Mus musculus: one gene and its partner. The protein of the gene in region 2 interacts with the protein of the main gene of each other region in a pairwise test. Links are inferred from orthologs where the notes say so. Each region holds a gene or a part of one and is shown on either strand. Other genes may lie near its edges.

What was found.
Region 1: the proteins of Mpped2 (region 2) and Cage1 interact in binary tests that used the Homo sapiens proteins (3 or more experiments, as listed by UniProt). The two-hybrid records come from large-scale screens. The link is inferred for Mus musculus from reciprocal best matches to the Homo sapiens genes MPPED2 and CAGE1.

Annotation. Positions count from the first base shown.
Region 1 is NC_000079.6:38,033,087-38,040,772, forward strand, and holds the start of Cage1 (cancer-associated gene 1 protein homolog), read right to left. Parts: upstream 3,852-7,686; 5' UTR 3,739-3,851; coding exon of another isoform or gene 3,733-3,738; exon of another isoform or gene 3,702-3,732; intron 1-3,701. Other genes in the region: Riok1 (serine/threonine-protein kinase RIO1), read left to right, coding at 4,375-4,445, 6,987-7,188.
Region 2 is NC_000068.7:106,864,427-106,870,184, forward strand, and holds the end of Mpped2 (metallophosphoesterase MPPED2), read left to right. Parts: intron 1-228; coding exon 229-342; intron 343-2,521; coding exon 2,522-2,640; 3' UTR 2,641-3,934; downstream 3,935-5,758. UniProt on the Homo sapiens protein: Displays low metallophosphoesterase activity (in vitro). May play a role in the development of the nervous system.

The DNA of each region.
Region 1 (7,686 bases), on a different chromosome or scaffold from region 2:
TTTCACAAAATTTCTATTTATTGCTATTTCAACACACTAAGTCAAATCCAACATTGTACAGGTTTTCCTACCCCATACCTGTTGGGTTTAAATTTGTTTTGTTTTTAAGAGAGGGTCTTTCTCTGTAGCCTGGGCTGCCGTAAGTTCATGGCAATTCTCCTGCCTCAGCCTTCTGATTGCTGGAACTATGAGCTGCCCCCATGATATTCAGCCTCAGTTTCTGCTTTCATTTTGGTCTACCTTCATGACGTTAGACAAAAGTTGGAAACCTAGAGGCATGGTAGAAGTCCTAAATTATCTCCCATAGCTACTGTTATCCAACTCTGTCTGTTTTTCCCTTGTGTATTTGTCCATAATCCACGTGTTCATTCTAGCTCCTGTCCTCACTACTGATCTGTGTTTTGTTGTTGTTGTTTTTAAATATTATGTCTATGAGTACACTGTAGCTGTCTTCAGACACTCCAGAAGAGGGCGTCAGATCCCATTACAGATGGCTGTGAACCACCATGTGGTTGCTGGGAATTGAACTTAGGACCTCTGACAGAGCAGTCAATGCTCTTAAGCACTGAGCCATCTCTCCAGTCCTGATTTGTATTCTTATATTTTTGGTTGTGCACCTAGCTTTTAATGGCTGAGCTATCTATCGCTCCAGCCCCCTGATCTGTATTCTTATACACATCCATCAGGAGATAGGATATGTAGGTGTAGCCATAAAATCCAAATTCTTCTGTTTGTCCATGAGGCATTCAAACCCTACATCCACATCATTTACCCAGTACTACTCCGTACAAAGGGATGCTTTCTAACATCCCAGCCGTCTGACTGAGCCTGTGCCTCTCCTCGAACCTTCCAGAGTTGGCTTCCTGTTGCTATAACAAACAAACATAACCAAAACCAACTTGGAAGGGTTGTGGCTTCTACTTCTGGTTCACAGTTTATCACTGAGGGAACGCGGCAGAAACTCAAGTAGAACTGGAAAAGACCACTGCTTATTGGTTTGCTCATCTACCTTTTTAAAAACAACCCAGGCCCATCAACCCAGGAATGGCCCAGACCACAGTGGGCTGGACCCTCCAGCAACAATACATGATTAAGAAATTGCCCCACAGAAATGCCCACAGGGCAGTTTGATGGAGAGCCCCCAGATCGAGCTTTCCTTTCCCCATGTGACTCAAATAGTGTATGAAGCTGGCAAAAGCCAGCGCACCAACTGTCTAGCTTTACAGTCTCTGTGATGGTATATTTGCGTTGCTCTCTCATAAGTCACCACTGTCTACTGTTCAGTCTTAAGCTGCAAGGGTGTCACTAACTTTCCATATCCACATTGTAATTGTCCAGCAAGGAGTCTAGAGTTTCTCAATACTTCCTGCACACACACCAGTCCTGTTCCATGCCAGCTCTCTTCTTTCTTGGGCCTAATTTTCCTATTAGATGTAATTATGTATGTGCATGTATTTGTATGTCTGTGCATGTCTGTGCTTGTGATTCAAGGAGTCCTGGGAAGCCAGTGGTGTCCCCAGTGGTGTCCGAGCTGGAGTTACAGGAAGAGGGGGGTCACCTGACCTGAGCACTGGGAACCAGACTCCAGTCCTTTGTCTGAGCAGTATGCACTTTCCCAGCTGCACCCACATCTCTAGCCCCTGATTTTCCTATTTACAGTCTTCTCTTTTTACATCTAGTGGGATAGATTAGTTCATGGCTTTTAAAACTTTTCCTACTCACTATGTAAAGTTTACATGCACATAAAGTAGAATTACAAACAAAACACTTACTGATAATAAATTATACAGAAATTTATTTTAAAATTCTTTTGATATACATATAATTTTACTACCTGTTAAATAGGAAAGCAAATTTACATACTAATTAGATGTGTTTATCTGACATAATACCATCCAAAGATATACTATTTTAATATTTATCTGCTGAGAAATGGAACCAGGAAAACATTAGGTCTGCTTTCTGTAATGAAACGATTATTTCTGTAAGACCAGAAAACTGCAATGTACAGTAAAAAAAACTCTGCAGTTCATAATGAGAAGTCCAAAGCCTTGGGAATAAAATTTTCATTTCCTGGGAGGCACACTGGGTTCCCCAGGAGTTGCTGACAATGGGCCTTCAGTCAGATGGCCCTGACTTAGGGAGGCTAAGTCTGGAACTGCTGGAGGCCACCTAGCTGGAGGAGATAACAAGGCCAGAACAGAGCTGGTTTCCAAAATTCTTTGGTCTCAGCAATTACAATGAAACTAGGTTAACAACCAATCAGAATTGTACTAATGTTACTGCGTTGCCCCCCTATTGGAGGTTACCTAATCCTTCTGGAAAATTCTCTTAGCCCTCCATTAAAGGGGTCCATGAGCCCCTCAGGTGGTTGCCGTTTTGATAAATGGTTGGCCCCTGAATGCTGGTAATTTCTTCAGTAAACACTCTTCTTGCCTGTGCATCCTATTTGAGTCTGGGGTCTTCCTTCAGCTATTCTTGGACCCTAACAGGAACATATAAGTTTCAAATCTGAACAGAGGTATTTCAGGCAGTTTGCTGCTGTGAGTTGGTATAGTGGTGAGAACAGTGAAAGCTGTGTGAAGTTATCATGGGTGAATATTGCCCGAAATTTGTCAGATTCACCCCACCGTTTAAATTATGAATCAAGTTTTGGGTGTGGAGAATTTATCATGACTCTCCCCACCCCATTATGGGGCCATGATCTTTAGTTAAGAAACTCTGGTCTACACAGTTAAAACACAGGCTGAAAATACCCCCCATTCTAGTGGCATATTATCAGATTGTCTCAGTCTATCCTTAGTACCTGTCTGCCTGGATGACTTTGTTAGATTACTTATTTACTGAAGACGTTTTCAAATCGATGTCATCATTTGGTAAACTGTAAAAAACCAAGTAGGCTAAGGAAGCTAGGCAGGGCTGCTGGAGGACTCAACCTTGGGCTCACCTTTCCCGTCCTGCAAATAAACACTACCTGTTCGATGACAGGGATGTGTTAGTGCCTTAAATCACTTTCCAAACGCAAAATGTTTCTTTTCCATGGGCCTGTGACTTGCAACTACACTTTAAAAAATGTATGTGCCTGTTTAGTATACCCGTGCCATGTGTGTGTAGGATCCTCTGGAACCGGAATTATAGTAGTTGTGACTGGCCCAACCAGGTGCTGAACCAAGCCACCACCACCCAGGCTTGGTTAGCCATTCTACCTAAATCCATTGTTTGTTTGTTTGTTTTTTTTTTTCTTTTCTTTTTCTTCTTCTTCGAGGAAACAGGGTCTCTCTGTGTAGCCCCTCCTGTCAACAGGTTGGCCTCAAACTCAAGAGATCCGCCTGCCTCTGCCTCCCAAGGGATGGGATTAAAGGCGTGTGCCACCACCGCTCGGCTTGAGTTAAAACCGTTTGAAGATAATGAGGGCTTGTGAGATGGCTGAACAGGAAAAAGCGCGGACGACCAGAGTTCGGTTCCCGGAGCCCAAGGTGGAAGGAGTAAGCCCTCAAGTTATTCTCTGAACTTCACTCACGGAGCACGCATACACAAGCGCGCGCTAGATAATACTTAACATTTTAACATTTAATAAAGGCAGAAAGAGGTGTCACAAGAGTTCCTGCCAAACGCAAAAAAAAACCTTGAACTTCCCAACTTAAAAAAAAAAAAACAACAAAAACCAACCACTTGTATCATTGCATCTCAAAACAACGCACCAACGTTTCTAGAGAGCAAAAGTGTGCTCACTTCCATGATCCATCGAGCTTCTGTGACTCAGGCTAAGGATTCCGGGTTTCCTCCCGGCACACCGGCTCCGCGGGAGGGAGAACACCTTCCAACCGTCCCCACCGAGGGCACCAACTGGTGCGTCGCAGGGCGCTCGAACGCCCCAGTGTGACGTCCTCCGGACCGCACCTGGGTCCAGAGGAAGAAGGTCAGAGGACGCAAGTCTTCAGGAGCAGCCGGAGGAAAAAAAAAACAGGCTGACTTCCTATGACCGTAAACGCCATGGTGGAGCAAGAACGAAAGGCTGGGGAGCAACAAGAGCTACACATCCCACGCTACAAACAACGCACCACGCCCACTTCACATCGCGGATTGGTCTTTCCCGGCCACCGTCACGCGCATGCTCCCTGAGGGCACTAGGGTTTGGAGAGGCCCTGCTGGTGGCATACTTCCGGCGTTGCACTTCCGGCCTGTTGGTGGCCGCGTTTGCCGAAACCCTGTATCCTGACACCCCGGTGGCGCCTGGTCGTTGCCTTCTTGGGCCTGGCGGTTGCCGAGGGATTTGAGGGGCGGGAATCGCGGAGACGCGTTTGGATCCTCTAGGTGGGAAGCAGGCTCTTCCGATCGCGGCCTCAGGGGCGCCGAAGGCTCACACCCCTAGCCATGGACTGCAGTCTGGACAGGATGGCTTCGGTGGTCCCCGGGCAATTTGACGACGCGGATTCCTCAGACAGGTAGGCGGCCGGTGGTGACACAGGGACTCCTCCGATTCCGCCAGCTCCACATTGGGCTCGGGGAGCTGACAGCTGACGGCTTTGGATTTTTCTCGGGGTGAGCAGCTTGTGAAAGCTACCTACCTGTCAGTGGGTCCCGGGACGTTTAGCAGAGAAGCAAGAGTTGGGGACCACTGAGGAAGGTGGGCCTTTTTTTTTTCCTTTCTTTTCTTCATACAGGCTTCCATACACAGTGAGCAAAAGTTTTACCTCTGCGAGTATGATGAACAAGACAAATCAAGTCACTACTGTCTTTTTGGAAAGGAGGGCAAACCAAGAGGCTAGCACCTACAGCGTAGCGGAGAGAATTGAGGCAAAAAAGGGAGGCCAGCCAGGTCGAGCCTTCCAAGTGACTGTGAGGAGTTAAGATCCTGTTCAGGTCTTACAGGCCAGAGGAGGGCTTTTGCAGCGACAGAGCATCCGTCATTTGATTTATGAATTAAAGGAACTGGTGAGTCATGTAGAAGATGTTCGTAGAGAGGAGTGGAGCAGAGAATCAGTAAATAAATAAATAACCAGCTTCAAACCGGATGGCTCCTAGAGCTGCTGTCGTAGAACGACTTCGAGGTAGCAGTGTTGAGGTTTTGTGGTGAAATTGGATGTGAGGTCCAAAAGCAAGCAGTGACGGAAAACTTCCCGTTCAAAAGAAAAGAGAATTTACACATAGCCATTTTGAAACAACAAAGAGTTTTGCGTACCTTATAGTCAGGAAGATTTTATTCATCAATTGTGAGCGGTTGTGATAAGTATATATATTGACCACTCTGTGTGTCAGATCGAGTGGTAGGGAAATATTGGTGACTACCGTTTTGATTGCCACAGGGGTTGGCCTCTGCTAGGGGAGATAGATATTCACACGAGGTAAATTATTTGAATTAAAATTGGTGAATAGTACAAAGGAAAAAAATGAGTGATCAATAACATATGGTAAATAGAGGGTAAGTAGGGCTTAGCCGGAGATGTTGGAGATTTCCAGCCTTCCACTGAGGAATGGGCACATCATCTCAGAGAAATCCTTACGGAAGCGTTTAAGTGGGAAGAAGGGACAAGCTTACTTTGCCCACAGGCCCCATACACGCAGGATATTGTGAGACTGCACCCATGGTCCTCTGCTGGATCTGATTTTGCCATTGCACCAATCCAGAGACATTTTTATATGTCACACCTGGGCTGAGACACTAGTGGTATCTGGTAGGTAGTTCCGCATAAGACAACCTCACAGCAGAGGATTGACTAGTTGAGAGCATTCACATAGTTGTGCCTTTAACATACCTGTCTAGATTATTAGATTTGTAAGTGAAGAGTAATTTATGTATGATACTTATGAAGCCCTAGTAAACTGCAGCTATCAAATGATAGTCTCCTTCCTACTCATGCCCGTGGGCATTTAAAGCCCTGTGGGCTGTAGCCAATTAATAAATTGGAGTTGACGACTGAACTTATTTAAGACCCATTGGGGGCCAGGTGTGGTGGTACAGCGTCTTTAATCCCAGCACTCTAGAAGCAGAAGCATCTGATATTGATGATTTCAAGGTCAGCTCTAGCTTCATAGTGTCTTCAGGGCAGCCAGACCCAACAGGGAGCTCTGTCTCAAACAAGACTAAACAACAAAGGGGAAGGGGGTGGGAGAGGCGGGGCGGCCTGAGGTGCTGGGGATTAGGTCTGTGGCAGAGTGATTACCTAGAGAGGGAAAGGCTCTGGGTCCTCAGAACTAGAAGAAAAAAAAATGGCTCTTTTTATGGTCAGGTGAGGTACACACATCTTTAATCTTAGCACCTGGGACACAGAGGCAGGAAAGGTCAAAGCTAGCAACACTGAATTGAATTTTATTGAATTTGGTGGTAAATATGTTTTGTTTGGAATGTACAATGTTTTAAAAAAAATTGAACCTGGCAATTATGTGAAAAAAATTACATAAATATTGAGTGTTTTAGCTTCTTGAAAAACTAGGAAGATCAGTAACAACAGGGTCTGCATCTTTTGTGAACCTCTCCTCCCTTTGGCTGTACTTTTGTCTCTCTAGACCACTTCTCTTGATAGTCCCCCCTTGTTGTCCTATACTTGGCCCACTTCACTGTGTAGTCTTGGGCCTCTCCATCACTGCTTCCTTTTATAAATAAAGGTGATTTGGAGTTATTTGTGTCTTAGGAGTGTCTTGCTACGGCTCCTGGTATTACAGAGAGTTAAGGAAAGGCAAATTTTGATACACACACCCCTGAAAGTAGGTGTATGAATGATTTGACTAGAGTCTGGTCTTGTGCACTAGTCAGAGTCAGTTCATTTACCCAAGATGATAGTGTAAATTCTAACTTGACTTAAGGCAAAAGCAAAGCCAACACCCACTGACGGTACACGGACGTGGAGAATAAAGCATTGCTGCAGATGAGGAGACAGAGAACTTGATGTTAAGAAGACGGAGCAGATTGGGGAACGTAAGGTGTGTATGTGTGTGTTTTTCCCTTTGGAGGATGGATAAACATGCCAGAACATTCTTGTTCCTAGTGAAAACAAAGAACTGCAGCCAATCCATGCAGAAGATGGCGGCGTTCTACTTAAAAGCCTCCAGAATGCTGCAGCAGAGGTGAAGGGCGACGCTGAGACCGATGAGGAAGACGACTATGATGATGATGATGATTGGTACTTGGACGATGCAACTGGAAAACTCACCAAGGGTTGTACCTGGAATGGCGGCAGTAACTATCAGGTGTGTAAGGAATTCTGTAAATCTGTGTTATCTGCTTGTCTGTGTTCCAGTGTGTGTGTGGGGGGAGAGGGGGACAGGCCGGGTGTCTTCCTCAACAGTTCTCCACTTCATCTTTTCTTTATGTGTGTGGATGTGTCTGTGTGAGTGTATACACATGTGTGTGCACATACCTGTGCGCATGTGGGGAAGGCAGAAGTGGATACCAAGTCCCTCCCTTGGAGCTGGAGTTACAGATAAATAACTAAACAGGGATCCACAACATCTAAGCAGGTTCTTATGTGTGTGCTGGGATCCAGTTCCAGTCCTGACATCACTGAGCCTGAAGCTCACTGTTTAGCCAGCCACTGGCTCATGTCTTCCAGACACCCTTCTCTCTCTCATCTGCCCCAGTGCTGGGATCACAGATGTTTGCCACTGAGTTTGCCTTTTTATGTGGGTGCTGAGGACTGAACTTAGTTCTCAGACTTGAATGAGAATAATTTATGGGCTGAGCCATCT
Region 2 (5,758 bases):
AGGGGGAAAAAATGGAAACCAAAAAAAAAAAAAAAAAAATTAATCAAGAATCCAAAGAAGACAAAACGATGAGTGAACGTTCCTTAAAAGCCATTCTGAGCTTAATGGGGAGGCTGGGATTACAGATAACATAATAAACTTTCTGATGAGTTATGGTTTCCTGAAAGTCGGCATGAAACCTTACCTGAAGAAGGAAAATTAAGAGTATTGATTGCACTCTGCCCTTAGGTTTTCGAGACTGGGTTCCAAAGGAACTTCAAAGGGTGGGCTGCGTGGAGCTCTTAAACACAGTCCAGAGGCGCATTCGGCCCAAGCTCCATGTGTTCGGTGGGATTCACGAAGGTAAGAACACAGGGATGGACTACGTGCATTTTCCATGGCCTCACCCTCTCCAGCAGGCAGCCTGGGCTGGACATAGCACGGTGAGAACACAGTGATCCTCGAGCTTTAGTCAAAAGGAACTCGTTTATGAGACGAAACCTCATGAGAAAAGCTCACGCCTATGAGGCTAAGAAATATTTTGTATTGTTGCCTTTTAAGTAGAAAGGCAAGTAGGAGCCCTGTGGCTGAGGTTATTTGAAACAATGAAATCTCTAACAGAAAATGTTCACTGGTTGGTTTCTGTCTTTCAAGGTAAGTTGAGTCAAGACCCCAGAACCCAAAAGATTCACGGAACCTTCAAGGCTCTGGGTTTTTGTCTGCTCTGCCTTTTCAAACCAGGATGTCACTGGGCTTTTGTAGACAAGCAGTGTCAGCTGATCTTGGGGTCTCAGAAATTACAAGACTGGCCGGGGTGTGTATATTTGTACGAGGCAGAAGTGCTTATGTAGGCAGCTGCCATGATTCCCACTGCTGCTCACTGTGGCTTTCTGGGGTTACTTATAAATGTCAGAGTCAAGTTGAGGTGTGTGGGGGCTGTGTGCTTGGTGAAACGGAACGCCAAGTCTACTCCACAGAGTCCACAAGCACGGTGGCTTCCTAGTTAGGCGAGTCATAAAGAGCATATTGAGAAATTATCCTCAGAGGCCAGAGAAAAATCAACTTACTCCAAATACAGGCACCAGCTAACTGGTGGGAAAGCAGGGGTGCAGCTCTGGCAGGAGGCAGAGGGGAGGCATTGGAGCTAGCGGGTGGGGCTGAGTCTCCTCTGCTCCCTAAGCAGGGGTGAGTGAGTATTCTTTAAGAGAGGGAAGAACAGAGAGATGGGACAGCCTATATAAACTGTATTTCCTGGAGGACATGATAGGGGTGGGGCTGTTATCTTGAACACTAGTTTGAATTCCTGTAGGATTCCTTTGAGTTTGAATTTCACCCTTTAAAAGGGGGGAGAGGGGGGCTAAGTCATTAATTTACCTTAAACTGGCCAGACAATTGGAGAATTCCACTGAAGCCCCACAATAATAAACTTGCTTTAAAGGGAAGTGATCATATTCAAATAAACGTGACTTGCTTTTATTCACTTAAGACAGCTAAAGAGGGCAGAGAGAGGGCAAATACCAGCCTCTTGATGGAGAGAGATAACAAGACTTTATGACCCCGGAACCAAACAGTGCACATTTTAAATGCAGCTTTTCTTTTCTTAAGAGATTTTTCCATTGACCCTCATTAAGCTCTCCTCGGGCTTACTTGGAAAAATTTTAGCAAATGGAGCAGGAGGAGGGTGGAGGGATAAGAACCTCATCAGTAATTTCTGCAAGTCCCAGTCATTTTATTTCTCCTTTGCTGTTTTTATATACCACGGAGTCCAGTGTGGACATAGAATTATCGACTCATTGCATAAGCTGTAAGGTGTCCCCGGAAACGTGCAAACTTCCAAAAAGCCCAAAAATGTCAACATGCTAAAAACTATAAAGAAAGTCTACATGCCAGGGATGCCATGACATTGTCTCAGCTTTCATGTTGGGGTGCTTTCCTCTCTGCTCTGTCTGGGTATGGTCAGGAAACGGGGTCCTGTGGAGATGTCTCTACCTCCCGCAGTTGAAGAGGCAATGCTTCTGAGTGAGGGGGACTTAGCGTTAAAGTCACATAACTCAGGTAGAATCAGTGATGTGTGGTTAGTTGTCATGGAGACAGATCGCTGTAGGAATGAGGAAGAACCTCAGCTCTTTCATCTCTCTCCTGGAGCCAGGTTGTGTGCTCTTAGGCTGCCCACTTCCTTCCTGCGACTTAATAGTTAATGCAGGAGTTTGCAATGAAGTTGATACTTGAAAGGTAGGGGAATACTTTCCTTTATTCTCAGTGATACAGCTATCATGTCTTTTGCCTGATGAGTTCAGTGTTTAAGCAAAGAGGACACAGGGAAGAATCACTCTTTGTTGGAGGGGAGAATTCTCCCCCTTTTAAAGCAAACAGCAAAGTTGGCCAGGAGCTCCTGAAATCTGTGGTATCTGGAAAGGCCCACTGAATTTCATCCCCCTGCCCTCTGACAAAGATGTCCTTGTTCTCCCTGCCCGTGGCCCTGTGCTCAACTGCCTCCACCATTTGTGTATACTGCAGTAACTGTGACACTGTCTTCCTACAGGGTACGGCATCATGACCGACGGTTACACCACCTACATCAATGCCTCAACCTGTACAGTCAGCTTTCAACCGACCAACCCTCCAATCATATTTGACCTTCCAAACCCACAGGGCTCCTAAAGCACTCAGCATCCCGTTGGAATGTGAGGGACGGTCTACAAACTGCCATTTTTCTAATTATAAACTCACATTCTCTGATTTGTTTATTTCTAAATCCTGTGAGTTCTTTTTGTAAATTGTTGGAACAGGAGGGAAAAGAAAAAAGAAAAAAAAAAAGATGCTAGCGTTGTGCCGCCTCTTTTTTGCTTTTTTGAGTGGGGTATCCATTTGAAATCAAAGGAACATTGTGAATTTGTAAAATGACTTCTGTTTGCTCAAAGGCCACGCCATTGTAAATTGTTAGTATTTGCCAAAGGACAGCCAAGCTTTCTTTAAAAAAAAAATGATTATTTTAAAAAGTCTTATTTGAATATGCTTTAAGCTGAAAGGAAAAGATTAAAAAAAAAAAAAAGACAGAAAGAAACACAAAAGCAGTGTTTTGAAAAATCACCCAGATTTGCACAACTCTGAGTATTGTTTGATATGTTTTAATTTTCAATGTTTTGTTGTTGTTTTCTTGGTATTGCCTCATTTTTATTTTACAAATGTGGCCCCAATTTAGAGCAATCTCAACAGAAGTTGGTTAGGAAAAACCTTAGCTTCTCTCTGGCTATAAAGAAGACTGTGTCTGAGGTGGGGGAAGAACAGCCCTCATGCAGAGGCTTAGCCAGAGATCCATATCATGATGCTACCAACTCTCACTGTTTGTTTCTTTTAAATTATTTGAGCTTTAAAAATAAGGAAACAAGAATCTGTCAAGAGATGGTCATGCAAGGAAAAAGAAAGTGTGCAGACTCCCTTTCCATGTGGATTTATATATATATATATATAACTATTTTTTGTGCATTACGACTCAGTTGGGAGTTTAATCTTGCCAAGGACAGTACAACTGCAAAGCCACATCGGTAGCAGCACACCAGACGTCTGAAGGAACTGACCCATTCTTTCTTCAAACTCAAGGTCTTAAAGAACTTGAGTCCAGTCTAGGTACAGTAACCAGTGTGTATAGACTCCAGTGGATGCATCGGAAGCGAACTAAATAAGGCTTAGTCGTCCTTTCTATTTAAAGGCCCTGTTTTGTCTTCTCACTCCCCTCCCCCTCCCATTTTGCACTGTGTGTTGATGCAATCTTCGCTAGCACAAAATATTGTTGCTAATAATCCTTTCTGGTCTCCCATTGTCGATGCCATTGAGCGCTATTCTATTTTATGTTACCTTCAAATTTAGGAAAGCAGTTGTTTTCTTTAAATTTATTGTGATACTCTATATCTAGCGGCCTTTATATGCAAATAAAATTGCAAGATTTTTAAATCGGTGCTGCGTGGTTGGGCTGCCTGGGGGAGGGCGGGGTAGGTTTGTCCTGGGGCTAAGATGGTTTATTTACATGCGATTTGAGTAATCCCCTTCTGAACAATTAGAATAGTGGGTTTGTTTTTCTAATTTTTCAATAACTGTTTATGGCCTACCAATCCCAGGCTGTCAGGTCCATTGACAAGAGGTTCTCCCTGCAGCACACTGGGGATCTGGTTTGTCTCGTCTTAGATTGCAGAAGGTGCAGCTTCCATCTTTGGCCACTGTAATGTATGGGGACAGAAAGACTGACAAGGCTGTGACTGCTGTTTGGGATGTGACAGTGGTAGTGAGCAGAGGGCGCCTCAGAGGACAGACACCCTCTCACTAAAACATTCTCATTTATCCTCATGACGTGCAGTGGTCACCCCCACCCCATGGTTTCATTTCTGTTTGAATGAGTCCACTGACATGTTTTTTTTTTTCCAATGAGAAGCTGGGGCCAGTGGTAGGCTGGGGAAATTGTATATACCTCTTTCATTTTGTCTAGATCAGTGGTTCTCAACCTTCCTAATGCTGCAACCCTTTAATACAGTTCCTCATGTTGTAATAACCTCTAACCATATAATGATCTTGTTGTTACTTCATAACTGTTATGTCACCACTGTTATGAATCATAATGTAAATATAGGATGTTCAGGATGTCTGATAGTTGACCCTTGTAGTGGTTGTGACCCTCAGGTTGAGAATAACCATTGAGGAAAAGCACCTTGCTATTGTTGTTTGTAGGGCCTTTGCTTGTTTATAGAAGGTTATTTTGTGTTTTATTTTATTGTTGTTTCCATTTTCTGAAACAGTGTCTCAGATAACCCAGGCTGACCTAGAACTCTGTGTAACAGAGGAGGACCTTGAACTCTTGACCCACCTGTCTCCACTTTTTAACTGTGGGGGTTTACAAGTGAACATCCCCGCACCCCGAATTGCAACAAGATCTTAAATCTGTGCTAAGTCTGTGCCCACTGCATTGCATTTCCGTTCGGTCTAACTATTGTGATTCTTCTGATGCTATTCCTGGAAGGAATTCTTGATTTCAGCACCAGCTGGAACAGTCTTCTTCAAACGACAGCACAAATTCTCATAATTATCTCTGTCCATTTTAGCTGCGTCTCTTAGGCTTGTCCGTTTCTGATCTGACACTGTGCAACGGGTGCGTGGGCTTCCAGACGAGAAGAGTCTGTGACTGTGGGAGCTGAGATGGATGAGGTCCTGAGAGAAGCTCACAATCCTCCCTTAATCTGCTGACTTGGTGTGAAGATTGTTGCCTTGGTGCCCTTTCCTAGGGGATGGACAGAGATGCAAAGTACTGAAAAGACATTTCACCTGGCTGTTAACCATGACGTGAGCTCAGACATCTCTACAAGGCAAAGGAAGATCTCCAGGGATGGAGGGATGGTCCTGAGGACATGGGTGTGTACACAGCCCTGGAAACCACATTTGAGCACCAACAGATTAAGTGAAACACTTGCTAAATTTGCCTTCCAGTGTGTACTCTTAGGAAATGGCCCATTCTGCTATATCTAGAGCATTGGACTGACCATCCACAGAAATTTCTGCAACCAGGCCACACTCCACATGAACTGTTTCTGGGACTTCCGTAAGGACTGTCTAAAGCCTTTTCTCTTGGCATAACATAGCAAGGCATCATTCAAGAATGGTGGCTATCAATCCAGCGCTTTCCATTTCATTATCAGGCAATCTGATGAACAGGTTTCATATTTTATTTTCATCCTCAAATTCTAAGCACTCATAAGCCCCAGGTTATAAAAAAAATCAGCACCACTGCCAACAG